Alligator mississippiensis: one gene and its partners. The protein of the gene in region 1 purifies or fractionates together with the protein of each later gene. This does not show direct contact. Links are inferred from orthologs where the notes say so. Each region holds a gene or a part of one and is shown in the gene's direction. Other genes may lie near its edges. The genes, in order: DCAF1, COPS8, CEP78 and DYRK2.

What was found.
Region 2: the proteins of DCAF1 (region 1) and COPS8 purify together in Homo sapiens (affinity purification with mass spectrometry; 4 studies listed by BioGRID and IntAct, counting the BioPlex papers as one, with this or other methods). This does not show direct contact. The link is inferred for Alligator mississippiensis from reciprocal best matches to the Homo sapiens genes DCAF1 and COPS8.
Region 3: the proteins of DCAF1 (region 1) and CEP78 purify together in Homo sapiens (affinity purification with western blotting; 3 studies listed by BioGRID, with this or other methods). This does not show direct contact. The link is inferred for Alligator mississippiensis from reciprocal best matches to the Homo sapiens genes DCAF1 and CEP78.
Region 4: the proteins of DCAF1 (region 1) and DYRK2 purify together in Homo sapiens (affinity purification with western blotting; 5 studies listed by BioGRID and IntAct, with this or other methods). This does not show direct contact. The link is inferred for Alligator mississippiensis from reciprocal best matches to the Homo sapiens genes DCAF1 and DYRK2.

The regions. Positions count from the first base shown.
Region 1 is NC_081835.1:46,299,793-46,307,345, reverse strand, and holds the start of DCAF1 (DDB1- and CUL4-associated factor 1), read left to right. Parts: upstream 1-4,543; 5' UTR 4,544-4,713; intron 4,714-7,553. UniProt on the Homo sapiens protein: Acts both as a substrate recognition component of E3 ubiquitin-protein ligase complexes and as an atypical serine/threonine-protein kinase, playing key roles in various processes such as cell cycle, telomerase regulation and histone modification.
Region 2 is NC_081827.1:186,158,285-186,165,127, forward strand, and holds the start of COPS8 (COP9 signalosome complex subunit 8), read left to right. Parts: upstream 1-3,842; 5' UTR 3,843-3,944; coding exon 3,945-4,022; intron 4,023-6,843. UniProt on the Homo sapiens protein: Component of the COP9 signalosome complex (CSN), a complex involved in various cellular and developmental processes.
Region 3 is NC_081826.1:199,686,287-199,693,538, forward strand, and holds the start of CEP78 (centrosomal protein of 78 kDa), read left to right. Parts: upstream 1-4,250; coding exon 4,251-4,264; intron 4,265-4,603; coding exon 4,604-4,710; intron 4,711-5,183; coding exon 5,184-5,450; intron 5,451-5,664; coding exon 5,665-5,840; intron 5,841-6,505; coding exon 6,506-6,578; intron 6,579-7,252. UniProt on the Homo sapiens protein: Centriole wall protein that localizes to mature centrioles and regulates centriole and cilia biogenesis. Involved in centrosome duplication: required for efficient PLK4 centrosomal localization and PLK4-induced overduplication of centrioles.
Region 4 is NC_081827.1:68,669,887-68,677,530, forward strand, and holds the start of DYRK2 (dual specificity tyrosine-phosphorylation-regulated kinase 2), read left to right. Parts: upstream 1-4,633; 5' UTR 4,634-4,731; coding exon 4,732-4,780; intron 4,781-4,906; coding exon 4,907-5,034; intron 5,035-5,455; exon of another isoform or gene 5,456-5,810; intron 5,811-7,644. UniProt on the Homo sapiens protein: Serine/threonine-protein kinase involved in the regulation of the mitotic cell cycle, cell proliferation, apoptosis, organization of the cytoskeleton and neurite outgrowth. Functions in part via its role in ubiquitin-dependent proteasomal protein degradation.

The DNA.
Region 1 (7,553 bases):
TAATTTTTCTAAATTTTTTAGGGGCCCCGCAGGCCGGATAGAATGGCCTGGTGGGCCAAGTCCAGCTCACAGGCTGTATTTTGCCCACCCCTGCAATAGAAGGTACAGGCAGCAGCACTACCTTCTAGCAACAACTGGCGTCAAGTCTTGTTGAAGAATCCAGCAGTCTTCAGAGACTCAAATACATTGGATGTGGTATCACTGATTATCAAGGAGATGACCCATCCCAAAATGGGCATGTACCAAAGACGGCTAATGCTTGAATAAACAGGGTTGGAAGAACTAATACAAGCATTGGATTGAAAAAACTGGATGGGCTAATATTGGGCTGAGCCTCTGGCTAAAAATGTTGCTGTCAAAGTGGATGATGTTGAAGCAAAAAGTTCACCATGAGGTTGATGATTAATATTAACTGGTGCTTGCCCTAGTGTGTGGCAAAACTAGAGGAAGAAAAGCCAGAGACAGCTGTTTTTCAGTTTTCTTCACCCCCTGGTCTTCAGGATGCATGAAATCCTAATAGTTTCAGCTTAATCCAGAGGGGTTTAGGGTTGCTTTCTACCTGTTTTAGACTCCATCAATCCTTTTTCTCTGTGTATCTCTGCAAGAGAATGTGAAGTACAGAAAGAGAACAACAGTATCTTCATTTCAGATAGCAAAGTCCTGTACCATAACTGAATCTCTGAAGTGCAATGCAACCTCTACCTAAAATAAAGGTGTAGCTGGACAGTGGCTAGGTTGCCACCATCAATGGTAGTACCAGCTCAGGCAGTGCTGACTGCTATTTTTGTACTTCCCCTCCCCTCCAGCCCCTCCATTGGCATCTGGTGCCCTGTTTACCCTTTTCCCCGCTTACCTTAGTTAAGCTACTGCTGAAATATGAATTCTAAAAGCACCCTAAACCATGTCTTTGAACTAACTGTGCAAGCCAAAGGGCCTAGGCATTGGTGACTCTGCCTGGTGCCAGACACATGAGAAGGTACTTAATCCTGTTGGACCCAAGGCCCCTTAGGAATTCAAGCCCACATTCAATTCCCATACAGGTATGCAGAAAAACTACTCTTATTTGGGAATACGTCAGTTGGTAAAAGTGGCCCCATACCATCTAGCCCTGAGTGAGAACCCCAAGTGTCCTGTTAAAGTAAGACTTCACTGGACCCACATTCAAATATGGATACAGGAAGTCCTTCATGACTGGTTCCCACCTTTTGGGTAAACAACATAACTTCCCACGTAACAATAGTTGGCATCATCCTGTAGATAAGGGGTCGAGAACCTTCCACTGTTATGGGCCACTGTTTGAACCCAGCCCCTATTGAAGGGTGCAAAGATTTGCAGTGACTTGCAAATACTGCAGAGGAAATACAGAATGAGATAGGCAGCAGTACCTGGGGAATGCCCTCTCTGCTGCACTGGCTGGAGCATGCTGTTGCAGGCTGGATCAAGTCTTTTCATAACTTGCATCTGGCCCATTGGGAATAGGTTGCCAACCCTTGTTGGAGATCATTTTGCCCAGTAACTTTTTTTGTCATACCTTCTTGAGAAGGTCTGATGGTATGATCTAGCTTCTGTAACCATCTTTATTAGAAGTGGAGGATACACGGAAGGTGTCATTGCTGGAAGTACTCCCAGGGTTGATCGCAACCTATTTCTCTCCTTGTCAAATTTTCTCTTTCTTTCTTCTCATGATCCAGGGTTCTGCCTTGTATTTCATTCTTGGTCTTACCATCATCTTGTACAAGTTGACCTTTAGCATCTTTTTATTACAAAAATTACACCAAATATTTCTTTCCTTTCCACTTTTTTTTGGTCACTCTCATTAAGCCTCTTTAACATTCCTCATTTATGATGGAAAATTTCAGCTACCTGAGCATTCCATGTGGTGTTGCCCCTATCAGTTCATTACAACACTTTGCTTTCCATTCCTGTTACTATCACAGCCACAGCCACTGTTTGAGTACTTACTTTCAGCTCCCCCATTTTTAAGAAACTTCCAACAGCCTGGATAATGACCAAAAAAATTTTTTTCCCCAACTATTTTAGTTGGTCTAATAAGAGATATCGGATTTACCCAAAGAACCTTGTCTGAATGGTAACTCGGCACTTCCAGGAGTACACACTACTAACGAGCCAGACGACATGGCTCATTACTTATTACTAACACCCTGAAGAGGTGTTAGTTACACCTTACATGTGAAAGAGGGATGATATAAATTGAAGGCACCTGCTAATAGTCACAAGTGTCAGTGGGAAAGCTGAAACAGAATCAAACTCTTGACTTGGTCCCTTGCTCCATAAAAGGCACAAGACCACGCTTCTTTCCTTGTGATAGAAGCAGCCATGCTGAAGTAGTAATGGACGAACAAAAACAGCTGGGATGATTTAGTCTTCCTATGATTTGACTCTGTTGGTTCAATGTGACTTGCTTTGGTGTTGTGCTTAGTTTCCTACAGGATTAGGAGAAATAGTCTTGTTTCCAAAGCAAGCTGCTGTCTAATGGTCAAAAGTAGGCAAGTCAATGGCCAAATTAAACAGCTTTCAGTGTAACACTCAAGAATGGAAAAGGAAATAAGTTTATTGAATCAAGTAATGTGATACTTAAAAACAAACTGCATGAGTTAAAGCTGGTATCAAAAGTTGTCATTTTGTACTCATACAATATCCCTACTAGTCTAATGGATTGGGCATCCTCCCTTCCTCTGACTTCAGTAGGAAGGTGTTTAAAATGAGCAAGTAGATGGATTCTGTAAGGTAGTCTAAACTGTATGATGAATTCATTACAGACTATAAATTCATTCATTTGAGAGGGGCAGCAGGGTACAAAAACCCCATAGCTTAGGTAATTTATTTTGGAGACATGAAGAACATAGCAAGCTGTAGTACCATCCATCGCCATAGGGGTATTTATAGGTTGGAAGGAATATTCATGTCACCACATAAATTTTTGTATGTGGTAACATAGCACCCACGTGGGTCCACCCTGCTTGCTGGCGCCTTCCCAACCTTGCTTTGCCTCCCATCATTTACTGACCCTAGGGATCTCTCCCCAACAACACTGAAATTGTGGCAGGTAGTCACATCATGGGATGGACTGATATGTCCATACCAACCAGCAATAGCTGGGACCTTCTGCCTTCTCTTGGTACTTCCCCTTAAAGGGGACACCCACATAGGTTGAGGCACTTGGCAGGGCCTTGGCCATCACAGCCTCAGCTCCCCTTTGCTCTACAACTACACCCTCTGCCTGGGACTGCTGTTCAAGGCCTCAGTCTCTGAGTTTCAACCCTTACCTCAATCTCAGGGCCTGAACTCTGGGGCTCATTGCAGGGGGAAGCACTAAAGCACTCCTATTTGTGGCTTCTTCTCTTTACAGCCACAGCCAGTTCTCCAAAAGATCTAGCCAAAACATAAACATCAGCCCAACAGCTGTGAAACAAAAAAAACCTCTCTATTCTGGGCTAATACTTCCCTGCAGGGTGCTAGTTCCCCTTAGCCTCTTCCCTGCAGATCTCTGGGAACTAGGCGGACACTAATCAACCCACCTCCACCAGCTGCCAACTACAAGACCAGATTAACCAATGCCTATTCAGAGACTGGGTTTATATTTCTCAGCCCAGGCCCCTTCCAGTCACCTGACTGACCCTTTTGTTCATCCTTTCCCAGTGCCAGGTGCAGTTAATTGCCTGCCTCATTAGCTACCTGATTCCTGCCCTTTTTTAAAATGTATTCAAGCCCTCCCAGTAACAAGGGCAGGAGTTCCCCGTTGCAGGCAATATATATATATATATATATATATATATATTGTGTATATATATGCATGTGTGCGCACATGTATTCTAAAGTGTCTTGAATACTCTGCACTATGACCATCCCTTTTTAACAGAGAATATAATATTTTTATTTAACGTTCCTGTGGTAGCCCGACTCTGCAAGTGGTAATTGATTGGGCCCGTCTCAAGAAAGTAGTCCAGTGTGTGAAGGCATTATTTCTAGTAATCCTGCTCGTCTGTGGGGTAACTCTAATGGAGCAAACAGTAGATTGAGGGAAGAATATGAATATGGCAATATATTCCCAACCTAAACTTGTACCTTAAGGTTTATGAACATGAATCCCATCAAGTGCAATGTCATGCGAGGGCCGTGTCACATGTTGTGCTGTGATCCGCACATCTGTCGAGCGGTGTGAGCGCGGGGTGTAAGGTGCAGGTGCTCTAGTGTAACACAAGCCGAAAATACCTTCACACCCTTAGTGCTTGGCGCCAGTTTCAGGAGTTAATGTGGAGACAAGCCAGGCGTTGAGAGCTCCAGGAGCCGCCCCAGAATCGCAGTAACAAGACCTTGCTTGGCATGAGCAGCCCTTTGCGCCCCCGCACCGGGGCAGGACCGAGATGATTTAACTCGGCAGCTTCTGCAAACAGCGCCTCATGAGCGGGAGTGAGCACCATCACTTGATCCGCGGGGTCAGGAACCGGCCCCGCCCCCGAGCCTGACGCAGACCAGACCCAGCCTCCCGGCACTGAGAGAGCCGCGCATGCGCACTGTGCCGCCGGCTCTCGAACTGTGTTTCCCTGGAGGCTGCGCGGGCGCCGGCCCCTGCGCGCGCCGTGACGTGCAAAGTGTGAGCCGCCATCGCTGTCGCGGGCTGTGCGGGGCCGAACGGGCAGCGCAGCGCAGCGCAGCGCAGCGCAGCGGCGGGGACCAGCGGGCGCTGGGCAGGTAGGGCTGGGCGCGGACCCCGCGGGGTGGCTGACGGCACCGGCTGCGGCCCCGGCCCCACAGGCCGCTCGGCCCTGGCCTTGCCACTGCGTCGGCCGGCCCGGCCCTGTCCTGTCCTGTCGGGTCCTGCCTCGGGCCCGGCGCGGGGCCGTTACCGCGGGGCGGGGGAGGGGCGCCCGGTCCCCCCTGCAGCTCCCTCCACCTTGTGCCGCCGGGGTCACTCCCGGCTCCTCGCTACCTCCGGGCCTCCCTTCCCCGTCCGTCCGCGCGCCCGCCCCCTGCCCCGAGCGTGGCGCTTCCTGCCCACGTGGGGGGGTGGTGACTTGCCGCCCAGCTCAGCCCTCTTGCTCGAAGGACCCCTTGTTCCTCACCTATCCTTGCTGCCATGTGCCGGGTGGGCTGCTCTGCCCAGCCCTGCCCTGCCATTGCCTCGCCGCTGCCTCCATATGCCCCCCCCCTCTCCCCCCTCGCCCCGAGGGGCCGGGGTGAGACCTCGGGCCTGCCGCCTCCTCCTTCCATGCAGTGTAGTTTTGGTAGTGAGTGGCTCTACTGTTGGAGCTGCTTTCCTTTTGGAGACTGTTTTCATACACTTATTAATTGCAAGAATTAAACTGGTACAGTCCCTCTTATAGGCATGACAGGTGCCTCTGGGCTAGTGAACCTCTTCCCTGATTAGGAGTCAGACATGCTCAGGAAAGTGCGTTTGTGGGAGCGCAGGATGTCTTTGATTACACAAGTGTAGTTACAGTGTTACAGGGCTCAGGCATAGACCCATTCTTTGTCTTGCTTTTCTCCTACTTGTTTGATTGGGGATTGTTGTCACCCCTTGAAAACCAGTGGACTGAGAATGGAGTGATTTTTCTCTTGACACCAACATATTTGTTCCTTGTTTTAATTATTTTTTTGTTACAGTTGGTTGACAGCCCCTCTGAGGTACATTTCATAGAAGCTTAAATGTAGAGAACTAAATTATTTAATCTTTTGAGCTGGACTTCCAAAATTTGACTCAAGTTGGTGAGTGAGTGAATACTACATTTTGACGGACAAGTAGAACAGTGCTGGTTTTTTAGATCATTATTTTTACTGTTTGTAGGGCCTGCAGGCAAGTCGTATTTGCTTCTTGATGACTGAAGTGACAAGCTGAAAAAATAGGCCATCATCTTGAAAGTCCTGCTTCTTCTAACACTAAGATGTGATTTCATTCGTGATTGACCATGCAGATCTCTTCTTTGCTTATAGACTGTGTTCAACAGTACAGTTGTTAATCAGTGTTGGCATTTGCATAATCATTCTTAGGTTGCAACTTTACCACCCTTTTTAAGAGTGGGATAGTTGTTGCAGGCTCTTTGCACACTCAGGCAGCCAGAGCTTCATTTGTTTATGCAGCACTTGCTGTTTAAAAAAAAATAAAAAATTTCTACCATTGCAGTTAGATTTCACGCTACCTTAGACTTTGTCTACAGTGGTTCTTTTAGAAAACTTAAATCATTGTTGAGAGCAGTATTATATTTCTTGTTTTATCTGGACTGGGTTAGAGTGTGGTTGCTATAATGTGGCTTGACCTTGTCCATTATGCTGATGGACAAATTTCATAACTCTGTTAATCTTCATTAGAATTTATGTCTGACGTTCTGCCACAAGGTTGATTAAAATCATTACTTATTTTTTCTTAAACAATATGATTTCTTGTTATTTATATGTTGCTAATTGTTTCCTTTTCATTTTAAATTTTGCAGTGCAGCTTTTGAGCTTGAGTTTCATATTTATTATCTGAAATTCTAATACTGTAGGTACCTTATTTTAAAAGATTTTCATGTAAAATGGTTATATCTCCTGAAACAGTTTAGAGCCTTGTTGTAATCCTTACCAGGAGAGTGCCACAAAATTGATAAGCAAACAGCTTGTGCTGTTTTTGCAGCTAGCATTCCCTTCCAATATGTTGCAGTTTCATAAAGTTGAAGCTGAAACATTTCAGCTAGATTATACTATTTAGGCTTTGCAGTTGGAAGCTGTGTCCCAGAGTCACTCTGTGCCACAGGCACGAAAGGATTTGAGTGCCTATTTCTTGTTGAAATCAGTAGGATTATCCGTGTTGCCTAAACACCTTTGAGGACTTGGGCCTTTTTTTGTGAGAGACCTTTTTCAGTCTTTTGGCTTGTATATTAATGTATCATGGGAGCTTGTCTTCTTAAGTCTCAGTTGATTTTTATTGTTAAAACTGAAGTCATTTTATTTGAGATGACAGAGACAAATAAAATTGCCTGCATAAGTGCTTGCAGAATCGAGGCCTGGCTTTCAGTATTTTGCATTTTGCTAATGGCAAGTTTGAAAAATGTGATTCCCAAATAGTAATGGTATTAAAGAAATGTAACGTTATCATTTACTTAATTACAAATTATAATTTGAGGCTGCAACTTCAACATCATTTTTACAGAATTTCAACTTGATTTTTAAATCAGTGATTAAAATGCTACATCCTATTCTTAGTTCCTGAAAAGCAGTTTAGGGGTTGAAATTTGTCAAGTGCCTGTACAAAGGAAACAATGAGAATTAGGGCTGCTCTAATAAACATCCTCTACTGCAGCTTAGGGGCACTTCTGATCACATTTTATTCAGTCTGCGCTCTTGTTTTTTCTCTTGAGCCCTTTGATGAAGTTCTTGAGTGAGGGGAATGTAAATCTGGCAGGAATTGATTTGATCATTGCATCTGCAAATGCTATGCACTTGTCATAAAAATGCATGTGCTGGGAAAATTGTGGTTAATGCATGAGAAATACAAGTTTGTGTTATACACCTTGGTCTCTTTACTGATGGCATTTAGCATGTAGTTACAATAAAAT
Region 2 (6,843 bases), on another chromosome or scaffold:
TGAGGAAAAACATGTTTTGATATATTTGAATTTCAAAGCAGCTTCTTTATGGGAAGCACCCACTGTACTGAGCTGAGGAAAACAAAGAGCAAGACAGATCAAGTTGGAAACTAGAGATGAGGAATGTGAAAGCCAGGTCAGCATTTGCTTAGAAATACCATGGAGTAGCATGTGAATAGGGCAGAGGATAAGAGACAGTACAGCAGTGCCACCACCTGGGAGAAAGAGAGGGTGGCAATAAAATAGAATTTATAAAGAAATTCCAACACAACTCCAACTTTCCCATTAAACAAAAGCAGTGACTGATGGATAGAAATATACTTAATCCTCCAGCATAACTAACCTTCTAGAAGGGCTGTGATGAAGCAAAACATGAGGAGCTTCAGATGTATGAGGTGTTGTCGCTGTAACTTTTTCAGGACAGTCACAGGCTCTGGTGTTGCAAACAGTTTCATATGTGCTTTATGTCTTAGCAGGACTGGGATTTAAAGACTTAGGGCATTTGTACACAGTGCAGCGTTTGATCCTCATTAATTTACCAGGCCTTAAAAATTTTAACCTGAGTTATTTTGGTGCATCATGTTTGTGTTTGCACGCCATGGGCTTTCAAATGACTTAAGTCCCATTGCCGCAAATTCCAGTAAGGGGAGACAAATACCAATCTACCTCTAGTAATTAGGGCTGTGTGAAACACCACTGTTCTGTTTCGACTTGTGTTTTGATGTTTCAACGGAACAGCGTTTCCTTTCGAATTTCACTTCAATTCAAAACTGCTGTTTCGTTTTGTGTAAACGGTTTTGCTGTTTTGACGCTGTTTCGAAGTTTTGCCCATAGGCTATAATGGGGAAGGTTAAAACAGCCTATAACTTTGTCATTTCTAGCCTGATTTGGATGAAACTTGCAGGAATGGTAGCCCCTTCTAAGGGCATGAAGCCTGCCAAGCTTCAAGGAGATAGATGCAGGGGTTTATGGGAAACCGCACCTCAAGCTGCAGACAAGCAAAACTTGTGACATGGGTGACACTGTGTGTGTTAAGGCGCAGCAGGCTGAAAACTGCAGGCATGCTAGACCCTGACGAGGTCATGAAGCCTGCCAGCTTTCAAGGAGATAAGTTCAGGGACTTCTGGGTTCTGGGGCCCTGCACCCCTAGCTGCTGACAGGCAAAACTCGTGACATGCATGGGTGACACTGTGTATGTGTGTTAAGCTGCGCCCTCACTCGACTGACACCAAGGCAGAAAACAGGGCAGTTCAAACAATGCTGCCTTCTTTGCAGTTTTTCTATCCCTCCCCAGAGCACTGGGATTGGAAGGGACCTCAGGAAAGGATGACATTCACTGGCCAGCTACACAGTCAATAATGAGAGCGCTCCTTCCCCTCTCTACCCTCTCCCTCCCCTTACTTTAGTTTCTGTTTCCCTGCAGGCAAGCCCAGCTTGAGCTTCGAAACTCAAAACGTTTTGAAAATTTTGAAACGTTTTGACTTGTCTTGTTTTGTTTTGAGGCTGTTTTGAAGCTCTCTTTTTCATTTCGATGTTGCTGTTTTGAGCTCAAAACTAGTCGAAACTGTCAAAATGAAACTGCCGGCGAAATTTCGCACAGCCCTACTAGTAATGTCTTTTCTAATGAGTTACAGCAGGAGGCGCCTGTTTGTGCCAGTAAACTGGGCTCCCTGCACAGTCCTCAGCCCTCTACCTCCCACTGGGAGTCTCATGCTAAGCCCCCCACCCCACTGCAGGACACAGTCACCCCAAAACCCTGCCTTTTGCACCCGCTTAGGCTCCAGCTGGTCTCCCAGTAGGCAACCTCATGGTGATCCCGTCGACAAGCCTTGTGAATCATCTCCCTTTTCCTTCCCCCCATGTTACAAAGTAATGATCATTTATATATATGATTTTTTTTTACTATATAGCTGATATGATATCAGAAATGTACAGGGTTGAAAGGAGCGGGTAGGTGGTGCCACCCTGAGTGGTTGGCAATTGTAGCTGATGGTGGTGGTGAGGTGGACAATGTTTCGTGTTGTGTTGCCGAAGCAGATGTGGATCGACATCTAATGTGGAAACTGTTTGCAAATACTCTTTGCCTTTCAGTACTAGGCCTCATGCTTATAGTTTAGGTGATGAATCACACTGGCAGTAGAGCAGAAGCGGAAGTTAGACGTGTTGAAAGATTTTAGGAGGGATATGAAGGAGGAAAGCAAAAATCCTAGCACAGGGGAGCTGTGAGCACACTTCCAGCACAGAGAGCAGCAGTGAAGTATGGCTTCTACCTTCTTCTGGTCAGTCTTTTCCTACACAGCAGCCTGATCAAGTTCTTGCACAGCGTGGAGTCACGTTAGTAGCATTCTGCATATAAGCAATAGCCTCCAATGTTACAGGTTTGCTGCTATAGAGATGCTAGAAGAGCCCTGATCAGTAGTGACACAGCATTTGCTGAGAGATGTAATGCATGTCTATATGTGCACTTTAATGCACATTAGCTTATTTTAATGTGCATTAAAGTGTCATAAAAAGTGCTCTTTAACTAATACACATTAAAATAGTCTAATGTACGGTTTTCTAGTACCTCACAATGGAGGGTGCCTGTACCTAAACTGGGAGGCTGTTTTGCCATGCTGTAATTACAGTGCATTGGAGCAGACTTGATTAATCGAGTCTGCTCCAGCCAGCCTCCACCTCTCATGTGTCAGCGTCCCTGCACTTCAAAACTTCAAGCTCATTGAACCAGCTTTAAAGGACCCCCACCACCATTTTGGAGCGCAGGGACTCTGATCAATGAGAAGTTCTGGGCTCTTTAATTAGAGTGGCTCTGGAAGCTACTCTAATGAAAGCGCTCCCCTCTCCCTCTCCCCGATCCCACAGCATGTGTAAAAATGGCCAGAGATACTAGATTTAATAAGCGTGGCCTAAAATGCATTTATGAACACACAGACGCACCTTTAGTTAGCCACATTAGTCTGAAGTCAATTAAAAGGAAGGGTGGATTTCCACCTTATAGACTGACCAAAGTGTGTGTGTGTGTGTGTGTGTGTGTGTGTGTGTGTGTGTGTGTGTGTGTGTGTGTGTGTGTGTGTGTGTGTGTGTTGCCATCAGAAAAAAAAGAAAGCCCAGTAGGCACGTGCTACTGAAAGTATCTGATGAAACGAGCTTTGACTCACCAAAGCTGGAAGGGGGATACACGTGTCTGTGTCTATGGGTGTAATTAGTCACCAAAGCTCATGCTATACACGTTTATTGTAGTTTTTTCTGTGGGATATAAGAAAATAATGTTTTCTGTTTCCAAGGCTGAAATACAAACTTCACACTGGTTTTAGTGAATCTTGGAACATTTTAATATGGCAGCAAAGCTCTGTGATGTCTGACGGACTCCACTGACAATCTACCTACAGCTGTGGAGCCTCAGTTTTAATCTAGCCTCCTTTCGTCAAATTTGGCGATTTCGTTTTGAATCATTTCTGTCTCTTTTGTCCTTTGCAGCTGGATTCAGGTCAGCAAGACTTGTACCGTACGTGCATTTGGGGGCGGGGTGGAGAGGGGCGCTCTATGTACTGCTTTGGTTAGTCACCAAAGTTTGTGATAGATAGATAGATAGATAGATAGATACGTGTTCTACTTGACCTTCCCAAATAAAGTCAGCCAGGCAGACGAGAAGCGCCCGCCAGCCCCGCTGGAATCTCCCCACAGCTTCCGTCGACCCAGGTGAGCAGCCAGAGGAGCGGGGCGAGGCGGGGCGGGGCTGGCAGCTGCGCCATTGGCTCGCAGTGCGGTCCCGCCCCCTCCCGGAGCGTTCCTCCCTCCAAGTCTCGAGTCCTCCTAAGCAGCCGAGGGGTGGCAAGAGCGGCTCTGCGACACGGTTCCCACTCCTCGCCAGTGGTGTGGGAGGAAGTGACGCGAGCTCTGGGCCGGAAGCGGCGGGCGGCTGTGGCGCCTGCCCGGGCAGGAAGATGCCAGTGGCGGTGATGGCGGAAAACGCCTTCAGCTTCAGGAAGCTGCTGGAGCAGTGCGAGACGCAGGAGCTGGAGGTAGCGGCGGGGCCAGGAGGGGCAGCAGCCGCTCCCCTTCCGCACGGGGTCGCGCCCGGCTCGGGGGGTCGCGCTGGGCCCCTGGGGCTTCAGGTCCCGCTGCCGGTGGCGCGCGCGGGGCGGAGCCGATGCTAAAAGGGGCGGGGCTGCCCCACGTTCGCCGCCGCCTGCCGCGAACGGTCCAAACCGGCCGGGCAGGGGGAGCAGCGGATCGGACGTGGGACACGGGGCAGGGAGCGGGGCAGAAACGAGCTGATCGGACATGAGCTAGTGAAGGGGAAACAACAGAGCAGCAGACTGGACCTGGGAGATAGGGCAGGGAAGAGAAAGAGGGGCAGGTTGGAGGTGTGACACGGGGCGGGAGTAGAAAGCAGAGTAGCCGATCGGACACGGGACAAGGCATAGAGCAGAAAGCAGAGCATCACATCAGACATGGGACACAAGGCAAGGAGCAGAACGTAAAGCAGATGGTTGGACTTGAGTGCATGGAGCAGAAAGCAGAGCAGCAGATCGGACATGAAACAGGGCAGGGAGAAGGAAGCAGAGCAGCAGATTGGATCTGCAAGACAACAGAGAGAGTAGCAGATTGAATTTAGGACACAGCAGGGAGCAGAAACCAGAGCAGAGCCATTTTCCTTCCTAGGTGGATGGCTGGTCAGTTGTGGGAACTTGTATGGGCCCCTTCCACTTCTTGGGTACGGACATGTATAGCAGTTTGTGCTCTTGTTTAAATTTCACTGGGATCAGGAACAGAGACGAAGTTATCCATCCTGGGTTTGCAGGTGGCCTCTGCTGCACTTGGAGAAGGTTGGAGCTGGTGGAGCAGGCAGTAGCTTATTTGTCTCTAGCAGTGGGGACAGGCACCACATAAACCTGTCAGGTTTACTACGTCTTCTTTCAGGGGTAGTTCTCTACTGAGTAAAGTTACCCCCATCCTCCTTTGCCATTTGTATTGTGTTTTAACTTTGATGTGATGCTGATATTACCAGAGAGAACATTTTGTGTCTGTCTGCTGGTTTTTCCAATGTCTGTGAGCTAGGAGTGCATAGATAAAGATTTTTTGGGGGCTGCTACCTGTTGGGGTGACTGTATTTGGATCTTGGGGAGTACTGGATTTGCAGCTGAATAAAGGCTTTAATCTGTGGCTTACAAAAGCTGCTGACCACAAGGCAGAATGGTGTATTAAAAGTAACATTGTGAGATGCTTAAGCAAGTAGTTTTCTGACCATATAGTAGTGTTGTAGGATATGTAACTCCTTTATATAAAAGAAACAGGATGCAAGCCACCGGCTGTCATTAGGAGATAGAGCAGATTTTGCTTATGAATGCTTATGCTAAGCCATCCATTTGCTTATGTGAATTAACCATCTTAACTGTGTGAACCATTCTTCTGAAAAAGCAGCAAGTAAGTCTGTGTGTTGCGAATGAGGTAATGTAAAGATGGTACAATATGGGACTGAAAAACAGACTGAAATGTGAAAGATGACATATCATTGGTAACAGAATCTGAAATAAACATATGTGAAAAGGTGAATGGTGATTGGTAAAGAAGCTTCCAGGTTTTGGCTGAAGTCAGCCCAGTGACCGAAAGAAGTGGAGTCAAGGTCTTAGTCGTGTGTTCATAGCAAAAAGACATGTAAATAAGTGAAATGCATAGACAATTCCATGCTAATGAAGTAAATGGTAAACAAAGGCAGAGCTTGAGATGGGAGGGACAAAGGTGGAGTAAATATTAATAAGTATAAACCAAAGTGTATAAATATGGAAAAAAACGTATGTTCACTGCTGCTCCCCAGTTTCTTTGGAAGCTTGCCCGAAGCTGTCTGCATTTTGAATAAAGCTGTTGCGAGCAATATGTGCTGGTGTTTGCTGCCTGCTTGTTCTGGCTAATGAGCAGCTGGATCCATGAGCAATTGGATAGTTGTCTCCCTAGTCGTTGGGAGCCGCATGGAGCCGGGATCTAACAATACCGATGGCTGATTTATTAACGAGCCATATCAGCCAATACCAGTCCAATTGCCAAGATGCAGCCTAGCAGCTTGGAGAGCACCGTCTGGCTGGTAAGTCTGTTGGGGGGGAGGGGAGATCAAGGTCCCCCTTGGTGACGGAGGGAGTGGGGCTGGGCAGGAGCAGGCACTGCACAGCCGTGGTGGGGCAGGGCATGGGACAGAGCCGCGGCTCATCCAGGCGGTGCAGGGGGAACAGCTTCCGTCACTGTGTGCACCCCTGGGGGAGCATGGGGGGAGTGGGGGATAGGGCCTGGGCTGTGCTCAGGGTAGGCAGGGACAGGGTGGATGGCAGCTGTGCTGGGAGGGGGGCTATGGCAAAGGGTGACTGTAGCCCATCCCATAGTCCTCCTCCCAGCACTGCTGCTGCCCACCCTGTGCGCAGCCCAGGCTCAGCCTCCCACTTCCCACTGGGAAGAGCCCAGTGGATCCCCGGCCCTGAGCATGCAGCAGCCTGCCCTCGCTCTGCACACAGATCTGGGGGGCTCATGCCTCTTCCAAGGTTGCATGCAGTGGTGGAAACCATCCCCCCCCTCCCTGCCCCCCACACGCCTTCTGGACGAGCCGTGGCTCCAGCCCACACCTCGCCCCACCCCAGTTGTGCAGCCCCTGCCCCGCTTCCTCCCTCGCTGTGGGGGCTTGATCTGCCTCTCTCATGCCCCTTCCCCCCCACAGGCGGGCTAGACGCTTGTCTCCAAGCTGCTGGGCTGCACTCGTGGCTGCATGCACGCTGCGGCTGTGCACATGCACGCAGGCATTTATCAGCTACATTATTGGCCATGTAGCCAAAAGAAATCTAGTAATGTCAGTTTCCT
Region 3 (7,252 bases), on another chromosome or scaffold:
AGGCCATCCTCCTAGATAAGCCTGAAATAAAATTGGCCATTTCTCGCCATGTAAATCCAGCAACACTGTTGCCATCTATGGGTGACACACCAGATCTTGTGCATGACTGTTTGCAAACATTGGAAACTGTTTATTCTTCAAGACCAAATTTGAGAGACAGACCTCTTGAAAAAGCTGACCTGGAGTTCTACACTGATGGCAGCTCGAGTATAGAGAATGGAATTCGAAAATCCGGATACGCTATCGTGACTACACAGAATGTGATAGAAGCAGGACCTTTAAACCCATCTGTTTCAGCTCAAAAGGCTGAACTCATTGCTATGACTCGGGCTTTGCAATTGGCGGCCAACAAAACTGTCAATATTTATACTAACTCTAAATATGTTTTTCTTGTTTTACATGCTCACGGAGCGCTATGGAGAGAGCGAGGTCTACTTGATTCAAAAGGAACAGGCATTAAGCATAGCAAGCAGATAAAAGCCCTCCTCAAGGCAGTCTGGGAACCAAAAGAGGTAGCAGTAATGCATTGCAAAGCACATCAAAAGAAAAATGATGATCCCTCCACAAAAGGTAATCGATTTGCTGACGCTACAGCAAAGAAAGCAGCTAAAAAACCTCAGAAAGACTTGCTGCCCAAAGTAAGTAATCTGTTACCTCTCCTCCCAGACTTATACCAGCCTGTGACACCACAGTACGGGGAAAGAGACAAACAATTGATAAGAGAGTTTCAAGCAAAGAAGGGGGAGCACGGGTGGCTAGTAGCAAAGGATGGCCGCATTATCATCCCAGCTGCCTGGGTTCATATGGTAGTGAAGAGAGCTTATCATGGCACCCACTATGGACCCAGGGCCCTGATAAGGTGGATCAGTCACTATGTAACTGGAGTGGGATTAAGAGAGGCTGCCAAGAAGGTAACAGAGACATGTGAGGTCTGCCAGAGAAATAACCCAAAAGGAGGGAGAAAAGAAACTTCAGGACATCAGAGAATAGGCAATGGGCCAGGAGAAAAATGGCAGGTGGATTTTACTGAGTTACCCCAGCAACAGGGGATGAGATCCTTGTCTTTGTGGACACTTTCTCTAATTGGGTTGAGTGCTTCCCATGTCGGACTGCCCAAGCCCGAGAGGTGGTCAAGGCACTCCTACGAGAAATCATACCTCGCTTCGGACTTCCAAAAGGAATAGGGTCAGACAATGGCCCACATTTCATTGCATAAATTACTCAGAAAGTTTCTGAGTTCCTGGGAATCAGCTGGCATTTACACACCCCTTGGAGACCCCAGTCCAGTGGAAAGGTGGAACGTATGAATCAGACCTTAAAAAGACACCTTGCAAAGATTTGCCAAGAAGCTCGACTCAAATGGCCAGAGGCCCTACCCTTGGCCCTGTTGCAAGTAAGGGTCGCACCACATTCTAAATTGGGATTAAGCCCATTTGAGATAATGTATGGTAAGCCTTACCCTCTGAGTCTGCCCATGGGTACTGAACAACAGTTACATGTTTTAGGAGAGGGAATGATTAGAGAATATGTATGGTCTTTGGTTTCTGTTTTGTCTTCCATCCATCAGCAGGTACGGGACGTGCTGCAGACACAGAACCAGTCTCCTGCCCCGGAAAATCGATTATTACTTGGAAGTTACGCTCTTGTGAAAGATTGGAACGAGGAACCACTTCGAGCCAGATGGAAGGGCCTGTATAGAGTACTTTTAACGACCCCGATGGCAGCAAAGCTAGAAGGAATCAAGACTTGGATACATTCCAGTCGCCTAAAGCCGGTGGCTGAACCAGAACAAGAAGAAACTCCTGCAAACTCCGGGACCGGAGGCAGAGAACAGTGAAAGGTGGAGCCAATAAGGGACTTAAAATTCCTATTCAAAAGAAAGGAACTTTGAATAATTTGTCAATCTTTGATCAAGTTTTACAAGCCTTATTATGAAATTGTTCAAGGTTTTAGTGTGGGGCACCCTGATCTGTCCACTCCTACTTATAGGAGGGGAAAATCTTTTACCACAAGAATTTGACCCTCAGGAAAATGTCTGGATTTATCTGGCCCGGGAAATATTAAATAGAACAGACTTCTGCTTAGCGGGAGGGATCAATGCTCATCTGGTTTTTACCTCATGCTTAATTGCAGTACCTACCCCTTTGAAAATTTTACAGAATTATACTATGCTGAAAGATGTAGAGAAGGAAAATACATATCAGGATATATATAAGTGGGGGACTATTGTAAAAGAGAAAAGCAGAGACATGTTTTCTGTACGGGTTCAGGCAACAGCTAATGCTTCTGAATGTTTCTTAATAGTGAATTGTACCAATAATTGCTTTGAATTGAACCAAGGTAGAAAAATCTTCTGTAATAAGACCAGTCAAATATCGTATGTATACACACATACCATCCTTCCTCGAGGATGGTTTCTGGCCTGCGGGAGAATGATATATTTATACCTTCCAGCGAATGCTACTGGGGGACCATGCACCATTGCCCGGGTAACTGCAGCTCTTCCAAGGAAGTCTGACCTAATGCACACTGAACAAACCCCTCTTGGTGGGAGGTTTAAATGAGCATACACTACTCTCACTGCTGATTGTGACGAGAATGATTCCCCTGGACTATTATCTAAGGCAGAATACATAGCATTAGCTGCATCTATGGTGGGGGTTCCGGGTCTTGCTGTCTGTAATAGCAGAAATCTTAATGCAGTGGCCTGTGTTTTAGCAAAAGGACTAAATGCTACATCTCGAGCGCTCTCAGCCTTGAATGCTGAACAAAAACAACTAAGGGATGCTGTCTTAGAGAATAGAGCCGCTATTGATTATCTCTTGTTGTGACACAATCTGGAGTGTGAAACCTTAAAAGGAATGTGCTGCTTCAACCTCACTGATAATTCTGTAATTGAAGACAAAATTGGTGCCTTACAACGATTGACACAGACGTTGAAAGAATCATCTGGCTTAGACTTTTTCTGGTTAACTTCCTGGCTTCCCAATTTTGGATGGTTGAAACAGTTATTTTGTATGGTTGTTCTATTTTGTTTTATAGGGATTATGGTTTGTTTCTGTATCCAATGTATACCGGTTTGTATCGCATCTATCTTCAGACCTAAGGTAAATCAAATGATTTTGCAAACAAAGAAAGCTGAGAATACTAGATTTGTGTTAAGTCAAATTGAATGGAGCAATCATAATTAATAATTATGAATGCTCCAGAGGAGGGAAATGTAAGGTTCGACCTAGAAACTACTATGCAAAGCCTAAGCAAAAGTGAATGTTATGTGACGAATGCCCATCTGCAATGATAAGGAGCAGACAGTCTTAGATAGAGGAAGCTTGAAAACAAAAACAGAATCAGAGTTACTGGAACAAAGAGCTCATTAAAATACTAAAAATCACACCCCTAGGCAGGGAAGATATATGCTAATGAAACATATATGTATGTTAATGAGATACATAGCTAAAATACAGGTATAGAGACATGCTCAGTAAAGAACTCCTTGCGTCACTCCTTTATAACCAATAGCAAACAAGGATGCTTATGAAGATTCAAACTCTTGTATATAAGGGGCTCAGTATTGCATATGTGCTGTGCTTGTAGGGTGAAATTATTCCGCTTGCACCTTTTATTGCTAGCAATAAATCTTTTTTATACTTTCACCTCTGGTATCTTTATTGGTCTTTGCATACCGGGCATGAACCCAGACTTGAGCTGGGGCCTAACATTCCTACAGGCTAGGTGTAACTCCCATGTTCTGTTGAACAAATGCACCAAAACTTCCATGTGAAACGCCGTAAACACAGGACTACGTCTTGGTTTTACAATTCATGTATGCACAGAGGAGCTTGCATCCTGTAAAAATTATTAGCGTTATGCATGGCTGGGTGTGACTGTTATTTTACAGGCTCTGCTTTTGGTCTTTCTTAGAGACAGGAAGATCAAACTCTAAAGTGTATGCTGGAAAGATGAAATAGGTTAAAGCTCCTAGAATAATTACAGAACAATTCTTGTCTGCCCAGGTATCAGACACAATGTATCAGACACTATATAGATACACACACAATAGCAAATTGTTTGTCATGAATGGGGCTGAGTCAATTAGAGGATGAATAAAGTGTTATGGACAGACGGACAGACTGATTAAGGCTTTTATAAAATTTGTGTACGTGTGTGCGCATGTGTGTACATAGTCCGATATATGTATACGCACACCCACCCCCTTTATCTCATTTAGATATCTATATCTATATATTTAAATGGTGGTAGCTGGGTAAATTTTGTATTAAAGGATATGTAAATAGTGTGTTTGGTTGCACTTATTGTATATGGGATAGAACAGAAGAGTGATTTTGGCTTCTGAATTGGGTTTTTCTAACGGGCTGACATTTGTTTATATATGTATACATAACCACACACGCACACAAGAAATATATATTATAGATATTTCTATATAATAATAATAATGGCAATAATAATAACATTGCCCGTCCCCACTGACACCCGCTCTGCGCGCACTCCGGCCCTGCCCGAACGCGGACCGCTTGCCCCAGCCCCGAGCCCAGCCGCAGGCGGGGAAAAGCTGTCCCCGGCATGTCCCCGCCCCCGGAAGAGGCGGTGCCGCACGCCTTGGCGGGCTGAGCTGCGCGGGGCTGGCAGCGGCGGCGGGGGAGGGAGAGGGAGGGTGTTGTCGTGTGCGCGTGCCGTGGCAGGCAGGAGGTGAGTGCCCGCGAGCAGGCGCACGCGGTTCGGAGGAGGCGGTGGCGGCGGCGGCGGAGTGGGGGCGGGGCTGCGCTCCCACTCGCGCCGCCTGGGGCCCCTTCCCCGCCTCCTGCTCTGCAGTGCCGCCGGCCCGCGGCACGGAGCGGCCTGGGGCGGCGCCAGCCTGGCTTCCACCTGCCCTCGGCGTGCTGGGGGTAGCGGACCCGTGCCCTAGGAGATGATCTTTATGGCAGTTAGGTAGGAGCTGTTTGTGAGAGACTGTCGATGCGGGGTTCCCTCCCATTCGTTTCCAGGTGGCAGTGCTGTCGCGTAATGTGCTGAATGCAGTGACTTGTTTGGACCTGAGCTTTACTCCGTTGTCATGGTGCGGGTGCTTGTATTGAGAGCCTCTGCCAGTATGTAGTTTGTTCAGCTGGATCAATTGTAGTCTTTTTTTTTTTTTTTTTTTTTCCCCTCCTCCCTCTGCTCAGAGAGAAACTCTGCGCCTGAAAGAAACAATCGACTAAGGAAGCAGAGCACCATGGATTTTTACTCTCACTATGAACATCTCTGTGCCCTCCAAGGCTCTGTCCCAGTAAAATCAGTGAAGCCTTACCTGAGTCGGGGCACTCTTGACCTAAATGCAGATCGCATCAAGGCAGCTGACTGGGCTCCGCTTCTGGATGCAGTCAGGCATAATAAGACTTTGACTTCTGTTGGAATCAGGAGTTTTCATCAGCAGGGTCTAGGAGAATCAGGTTGGTAGTGACTGCTTGAGATGCTCCTTACACCTGTTTACATGAGAATTCAATACAGAACGCTTCTGCACATGTGTATGAGGGGTAGAAATATTGTGGGGTTTTTTAATGGGTCTTGTAAAAACCAAAGGTCCAAGGTGAGATTCTGGCCCCAGGGACTTCAGTGTGGCCTGGATGTCATTTCACCCCCAAATTCATTTCTGTTGTTTACCAGGTGCTGAAAGACATAAAACCTGCTACAGAAGGCGTATTCCAGCAATCCGATCAAAAGATTTGACGAGTCAATTATGTAAAGCCATCAGAGGGTGTCTGAGTATATCAAGCGTTCTAAAAAATGTGGAACTTCAGGGTCTGCTTCTGAGAGAGAGAGATCTAATACTTTTAACAAAGGTAAGACCGTTTTAACCACGCCCATAAAAGAATTGCACCCTTAACAATAAAGATCTTGGGTGTGATTTTTCTACTCACATTTTAAAGATACAGTGCTAAGCACACAGGCCACAGAGAGAGAGGGCTATGGTGATTTTAGGATGGCTTTTTATACTTCTGTTCTTGACTGATTCTAGGGTGTTGGAGAGATGCCAGCTTAATTTAGTCCTGGGGGCCAATCAAAGTACAGGCAACCCCTGCTTAGCACTCTTAATTGGTTCCCGAAAAACCGAGCATTAAGCAGAAATAGTGTTAAGCGAAACGGAAAGTTTTTGACGAACCAGGATGGCGACCATGAGCGTTATAGTGAAACTCGCTGAGTGCTAAGTGGAATTGGGTATGACTGTACAATGAGCATTATAGTGAAATAGTGCTAAGCGAAACAGCGTTAAGTGCGGGTTGCTTGTAATGGCAGCCTCCCCAGGGAACCTGGCATACCCTAATGTTTCTGTTATGCCTTTTCAGTTAGACGGTTTTTAGGGGAAGCAGCTGTAAGCAGTGTTTCTAGAGTCCATTTCTTCCTCTTTTGTAGACAAAGGGTCCATAGTGGGAACACGTATCTCAGCCCATTCTTTAGACATATGCTAACATAATACTGTTAATTAAATGGTTTTTTTTTTCCAAAGGGGTTAGCAAAGACAACATCTTTAGAGAGTCTGTCTTTAGCTCATTGTCCAATTGGAGATGGAGGACTAGAAAGTAAGTCATTTAAAAAGAAATATTTGAAGGTAGTGATTCTCAACCAGGGTGATGTGGCATGATTCACAAGATAAACCCAAAGATTTCAAACAGGAATTCATGGTCCTAAATGCATTCTGACTAGTTGCGGTCTTTCTGAGTTCTTTACAGCAGAAGTATTGATTAATTATTTTTCTGTAGTCAAAAATAGTGAAAATCAACAGCGTGGCACGTTTCAAGAGGTGCTTTGAGTCTAGCAAAAGGTGCTTTAAGTATGTGAAGGTTGAGGATCACTACTGTAAGGTGATCTGTGCTTGTGTGTATGAACTTATTAAAACAAAGTTTTAATCAATATTTCCACCCCTGTTTTAATCTATACTAACTATAAAGCAGTTATCTTTATTTTGTATTTTGTGAAACTACATACCAGCTAGGATGTGTTGTTATGATCTTTTCTTCCTTTCTGTCAATACTTGTAGATTTTTTTTCTTTTTTTAAGTATTCTGAACCCTGAAGTTACACGATAGTCTACTAGTACTAAGCAAGTAATTAAACTTAGAAACTTAAAAGCAATTGCAGTCTCAGCTATTTCTTTACTTGTAATAAGTAAAATGTTTATGCAACTTAAGCATTACTGAGATACCTTTTCATAATGATGTCTGCATGCAAACAATGTATACTGGAGAAAGATAAAT
Region 4 (7,644 bases), on another chromosome or scaffold:
AGCTGTGCTGCACGTGGCCAGACTGCACCACACATGGTGCTCACTCTGGAACATGCATCACATGGTGCCTACGCCAGCCAGTCCAGGACCTGCACTACTTGTGGTGTTTGTAGGTGCCATATGCCTTGCAGGTCCGGGACTGGCTGGAGTGGATGCCATGTACAGCCCAGTCTTGGATCTGTGGGGGAGGCTACTGTGTATGCATAGCAGCTGCTGCTCTGGTCAAAGTGTGCCTGTTCCAGCTATTCTGGGATCTGTACTGCATGCATAGATCCTAGACTGGCTGGAGTAGTCACAGGATCAGGTATGCTGGTGGAGGGGCTGGGGAGGTGGGGTGGGGGGAGTTTTCGGGAGGGACCTCTGGAGATGATGTAGTCCAGGGGTGTCGAAATTATCCAGCCCTGTTTGACACCCCTGGACTACATCATCTCCAGAGGTCATGTAGTCCAGTCCTTCCAGTCCTACTTTTCTATAATTCTTTGATTCTAAGAATGAAGAAAAGCTACCAAGCTGCTTCTGCACGATGGACCAGAATTCTGCTGCAGATGGGTGAAGGAATGTTATAGACTGTCCTTATATAACATGCTAATTTTCAGTGTAGCTAATTCTCAGTGTAACTAATTCACTATGGGAGTTAAAAATATCTGTATCTGACTCTTTTCCTCTTACATTAGTTTTATACCAGTGCTACTTTACAGACTTCAGTACAGTAGCTCCTGATTTACAGCACTCTAACTGAAAGCAAAATGGGACCCTTTGTCTCCAAATTACTCCATGCAGAGAGTTTACACAATAATAAATGGTAAAAGGAAAAAAATCTAATATACTTTGAGAACACAATCTGGAAAAAGAAATGACAAATTGCAATAGAGGGAGATCTGGCACAGAACACTTTCCTCCATCATCTGTGCAAACTAAAATGAATGCACAGACTGAACATTAGTGCTACATGACTTGGGGGGGAAAATATAGAAGTTAAGAAAGGATGGATGGTGAGCATGTCCTGAGATCTGAATATACTGGACAGAAATCTCACAAAATAACTTTAATAATATAAGGAGAAAAATTACTCTTTGTCCTGCAGTCTCATATAGAACCTTGGAACATGTTTTTAGGGCATATTCATGGACCAATAAAACATCCTTTGTTGTATCTTAATGCTATAATAAAAGTAGCAGCTTATGCATTCTTAGAGAGAAGTATGACTGAATCTTTGAAAACAGAATAAACTGTGTGCAAGTAGTTTAGCTGGAATAAAGTATAGCTGGAGTGGTTTATGAATGCCAACAAATACTTGATCCTTGCAAGCTACTTTAGCTTTGCACTATATTCTTACCAGTGCTAATGCACTTTCTACAGTTCTGTGGCAAGAATTCTCCTCTCCGCTCTGAATGTATATATCAATAACAAAAGCCCAGCTTTATTTTTAAAAATTATATTGAAATATTATATAAAACTTCCACTGCAATAGGTATTTCAGTGAGAAAATAATATTTTTGGAGGGGATAATGAAGGCTGATGCATATCAGATTTAAAAAGTAAGACTGGATTCTGCTTGCACAAAAGCAATTGGAAAATTCCTGTATATTTCAATGGGATCAGGGTTCTAAAGTAATTCTGAATCAAATCTCAACCTTAGATCTGTGTCTCTCTTCCATCCAAATCCTGCCATTTACAATCACTTATCTGTAACAGTTCCATTACAATTCCCCTTTCTATATGCCAGTCTTCAGAGAGGCCATAATTTGCAATTAATACTGATTAAAGGTACTCAGTGCTTTTCAAGAAGTGTTGATATGTCTATTATTCCTACAGTACCATCACTGTAGCATACTGTGGTATGTTGATATGAAGGCTGAGATGCTCAAAGGTATTTAGAAGCTTAACTCCCATTGATACTGTTGAGGATTAGAGTCCAAATATACAATTAGGCAATGCAGTATTTCATCCAAAAGGACAGCACTCTCCAGCTCTCCTCTCTATGATTTTGCCATTGCTTTCTAAGAGGGGATGTTCTCTCCTGTTTCTTTCTTTCTAAGTAAAGCCATTTAATAATCTTCACTGCAAGAAGAAATGCTTGAACAGAGGTATCTTCCATTGTGCCTGAAAGTGTTGAGACAGGCTTATCCTGATCCCCAGGTTCACTCTAGACTGCATCAGCCACAGTGACCATATTGATCAGAACTGTCAAGGTGGATTGGACAGAGTGAGAGAGAGACTTTAAATTATCTATCTGTCCCACTGGGAACTTGAAAAATTAGCACCAAAATTGTGAAGTGGATACAGAATTGGATGGGAGCCAGTCACTGATGTGATGTGCTCTTTTTTTTGGCCTGTCTTATCTACCAGATGGGGCACTATGTGATGGATCAGCTGAATCTTAATCTATGCGATTGTACGGTTGGATAAATGAACTGCAGTAGGCCAGCCTTAGATGACACAGGTAAAGCACACCTGTTAGGGAAAGAGACTCTGCCCTATCTTGCTGAAACAGGAAAAAGCCCTATTTGGCTTTTCTGAAGTTTGGATATTTAGAGGAAGCAGTGAGTCCAGAGGAACTTACTGCTTTCTCTCACCTTGACAAACAGACCAGACACCTTTCATAGAGGTGAAGTTAGAGCTCTTGCTAGTCCTGTGAAGTGTTTCCCTGGTATCAATATCACTTCTCTCTTATCTGGACTGAGTTTGAGCCAGCTGCATTTTCATCTCAGTACTTATCTTACTTACACTTATCTCTGCCTCCATATATTGGGATGCTGCATTCCTCTGGACCACTCTTTGGACCTCTAAGGCATTTCATGGGAAATATTCCCATGGTGCTGACTGTTCAGGGGATTTGGTGTACATATTCTTTGTTGGTATGAATTGTGGGACCAGAGTGGTAGTCAAACATCAGCTTCATTTTTAAAGCCTCACTTTTGCAAGCATTTTTAAAGCTTCACTTTTTAAAAGCTTCATTATACAGCTGCTGTACAAACAGGATTCTCTACTAATCAGCTTCCTGCTCTGCCAATAAAAGAAACATTTCCTGGACCATCATAGCTACCACACCACTCAAACCTATGTAAAAGAAAACTCATTTAGATCACTGAGGTAACATGTTACTGTTATTTTTACATTCACAAATGTATCTCAATGTGGTTTCTTTCTATGGGCTGTGAAGAGAGTGTGTTTGGAGGGGCAGTGAAAGGTGAAAATCTCTCTTTTGCCATGAGGGGAAAAGGTCAGCTGTATGCGAGAAGGAAAAGGTATGGTATTTTTTTCTGTGTATGGCAAGAGGGGAAGAGGAAAGTGTCTATTTCTCTGTACCAATGGGGGAAGGAGGAGGGGGAGGTCTTTGTGCATGTTTGTGCCCCAGGCAGTGGAGGACAGAGGGGGAGGGGAAGTGGAAGACATATCTGTAGCAGTGGGAAAAGGAGAGGTTTGTTTTTACTTCCTTGTGAAAGGGGAGAAAGGAAAGGATGTCTGTCCATCTGCCTACCTATCAGCATTTCATAAACAAATGTACAGCATCCAAAAAGGGTTGAGTGTAGAGAGGAAAGTTCACTAGCTCAATCCTAAACTGGGCAAATGTTCAGATATCTATTTTTGTTGGTACTACAGTTCAAACTGACATTGAATCAAGAATCCTTTTGATTCATGTGATCTCTACAGCACACACAGGAAAATAATAATAAAAAAAATCCCTTGCTCTGTCTTTTTTTCCCCCTATTCAAATTGAGGCTTTTTTGTATGTTTCAGAATCTGCTTTCTGTCAGATGTGTTTTTTGGTAAGACTTTGTCCCTATAAATGTTTCAATTTATTTTCCCCTCTGAAACTCTCACCTTGGCCCCTGGTAGCTGTTTTCTGTCTCCTTGCAGCTGGTGTTTGTCCTGCTCTGCCCCCAGCCCCATTTCTGTTGCCCATTCTTGCCCTCTCCCCACTGCTGTTGTCTTGGCTGATGCTCTCAAGAATGAGGTGGTCTGGATGATGCCTTCTCCCTCCCCCCCATTCCAGTGAGCTGCACCCTCTAAGGTGCAGGCATACCAGGCTTGTGGGTATTGCCCTCTGTGGTGTGGGGATACCAGGCTTTTGAAAGTATCGCCCTCTGCAGTTGGGGGTTACCAGGCTTGGGGGTATTGCCCTCTGCGGTGTGGGGATACCAGGCTTTTGAGGGTATCACCTGCTAAGGTGTGGGCATACCAGGCTTGGGGGCATCACCCTCTGCGGTGACTGAACTGCCTGCCAATGCGAAAGCGGAGGACGAGCTCTCCCCCTCCCAGGAGCCGGCCCTTTCCTTGCCGGCGGGGCTAAAGGAGGGTTTTTGCCCGGCCCGCGGGAGGCAGGACCCGCGCGCCTGCCCCGGCCCCGGCCCAGACACGGGAGGCGGCGGGGCGGGACTGGGCGGAGGGGGTTTCCGAGGTGGGAGTCGGCTCCTCGGCCCTGCACGTGCCAGTCCTCCCCGGGGCGGGGGCGGCGGCGGCGGCGGCGGGGCCGGGCGGGGGTCGCTGCTCCGCCAGGGGGAGGAGAGAGGCGGCGAGGCGGGGCTCGCCCCTCGGCCGGGCGCGGGAGGCGGGTCCGGGCGCGCGGGGATGCGCCGGGGCTGGGGGCGCGGGCGGCCGGGGGCTGTGCCCGGCGGGCCCGGCGCCAGGGGGCTGCGGCGGGGCGTCGCCGAGGCCGCAGCTGCCCGGCCAGGCCGAGCCGCCCGGCGCTGCTGACATGCCGCTCCCCCCGCCGGCGCCGCAGCGGCCATGTTAACCAGGAAGCCCTCCACCAGCGCCGCCGCCGCCTACCCAGTCGGTGAGCAGCGCGGGCCGCCCGGCCCGGCCCCGCGGGGTCTGGGGGGAGGCAACCCGCGGGGCGGGGCGGGGCGGGGCGGGGTCCGTCCCCTCGCGCCGCCGCTCACCGCTTGCTCTCCCCCCGCAGGCCGGGCAGGCGAAAGCGGCCGCCAGCCGCAGCCCTCCCCGGGGCTGGGAGCGCGCACGGCCGCGGGCGCCGGGCCGCCGTCTCCCATCGCGCTGCCGCCGCTCCGGGCCAGCAACGCCGCGCACACGGTGAGAGCCGGGCCGGGCCGGGGCGGGGGGCGCGCTGCAGCCTGGCCGCGGGGAGACACCACTCCCCTCCCCTCGCCCCCGGGGCTCCTGGTTTCAACAAGTCTCGTGCGGGAGCGGGGCAACATCAGCTCACATCTGGGCGCACGGTCAGGGCCGCTGAGAAGCTGCTTTGTTTTTGACCCCCTCCCACCCCTTCATGAATCTGTTTTTAGCAGGGACACATGAGCCCTTCCCTCGCCGCCGCCGGGTGATGTGCCAGGGCTGGGGGCTGGGGTTGGAGGCCTGACCTGAAGGCTGCTCTTTGCTCATTGATGTGTCTCATGAACTGCCTCAGCTCTTTCCCGAAGGAAGGTGGAGGGAGGAGACGGGAGGGGATGGGATGGGGGGGTGGTTAGCTCCCATCCTCGCCCAGTCCTGGCCAATCCACCAGCCATGGGGCTTCCCAAACAAGCTGCTATTTCTGGAGGGGTGGGTCTCCCTCTCCCGGGTGGTGCAAGAGCCCCAAATCACTGCCACGTCCGTCCCTCTGATTGCCTTGTCGATGGCAGAAGGTGTCCTTATGCAGAAGGCAGCGCTCACCCCTGCGTTTTGCTTCAGACTAATGATTGCCCGGTTGGATGCTCACATGCTATCTCTGTAAACATATGGCAGAGCTTTACACTGTAATGTGATTATGTGCTGGTGGAAGGTGAAACTGTCTGCATTCGGATCTCGGCGTTGCAGCGGCTTTCTGCATAGCGTTTGGGATACAGATATCTTACTCCGATCCACTTGCCGTAAGAAGAAGCTTAAGGCTTTCATTTTCCATTTTGTTTTTTTTAATTGAACATTAAATTTAGGATGCTCCATAAGAGAATGACCTGATGTTCTACAAATCAAAGATGGGTCTATGTTCAGCATCAGTATGTTTTACCCACATGCACATACACTCTCTCTCTCCCCCCGCAGACCCCTCTTTCATTTGTAGAATATCAGTTCATTCTCTTATGGAGCATCCTGATATACATAGAAATTCCAGGAACAATTACAGGTTCCTATGGACAAGGTTTATACTTTATCCTATAGTGATGGGCATTATGGTATAGATTTATATTTTTACTGGGCATTAGCTACAGAAATAAATTTGACTGATAATCTGTTCCCAGTTTGAGCACACTGGACCTAATTTAAACAGTATAACTGCTACAAGTGCTATATATATATCATTATATTTTATACATGCCTACACACACACACGCATGTCATATATTTATATCTATATAGCATGTGTATATACTGAAGCTACTTCTGTACAGTACTATATGCCTCTGTAAACACAGAGGCTAAATTTTGTTTGTAGTTAAACAGATGGAGAGCTGGTAAAGTGCTGGCTGAGTTAAAACAATGTGGAGGCAGTTTACATTTTTCTTTTAAAGCAAAATATAAGACATAATAGTAAAAACATAGAAAATAGCCATGCAAGTGTTCTTGCACAGACATGTGCATTCACCCATGGATTTAATTTGGGCTTCATACAGATATAGTAGTCCTCATGTCTATCTCTGCTTGCTGGCCTAGGATCATGGTGTTGATAGTACAGAACCCTGATGGGTTTTTTAGCAGAAAAGGGCAAGCACAATTTTATGGCATTTCAGGTCCCTCTAGCTCTCACTGTTAAAATCTGTGTCTCTGTGATATGCCACTTATTTAGCCTTGAGTACTATTTTAGAAGTATTGCAGGCTGCCTCGCTGAATTTTGCAGGTTGTTATTTTGTGGTTGGTAGAAGATGTGAACATAACTTTTTATGGTAAGAATCAGTTGTGACATCAGAATGGTGGATTGTAACTTTTAAAACCATTTGGATATATTGGTTGCAAGATCATTCTAGGATTTGTAGCTGCAGTGACCTCCCTTAACACTGCCTGACTGAACTCCCTTTAATTTTATTTCCCACCACTTCTTCAAAACAGAGCTGAAAATGGAACTTCTAATTTTTCTTTCTACATTGACTTCCCTCCCTCTGTGCATATACTTACATGGCTCCCATCACCGTAGTTTCTGTACCTCCCACACAGCTAAAAATAAAAATAGCAGTCTCTTTTGCCTTCCCAGCCTTTAGGAAAAATAGCATGTTTAGATATTTGTGTGTGTGTGTGTGCACACATATCTGAAGAACCTGTAGAGGGAAAACCAAGTTGAAGAAATTTATAATGAAAGTGAAGGGGCCCACTGCCATTCTTAACTGCTTACACAGCTGAGTCATATGCTATAGGTTCAACTTCTGTGAAAATCCTGTCTCGTCTTATTAGTCAGCAGGGTCAGACAGGGAGAGGTGCCTTCCCTTAGAAGTTTGTGAACATCAGGACAGAGATATGGCTTCAGTCTCTGTCATCATGGCAACCTGTGTTGCTAAGCAGACAGACTTAGCAGTGTATTGCACCAGGTTGTGTTGGTTAATATGTTTGTTTTTTAAGAGTGTGAGACTATCCTAATCCTTTCCTTCTCCATTTTCATCAATACTTCCACTATTTTTCTGGACACTCAAGCTTGAAAATGTTGGAGGGGTCATTGCAGACTCCTAGTCCTTTTCTCCAAAATCTGTCCTTTTGTATCTGTTCCCTACTTTCAAA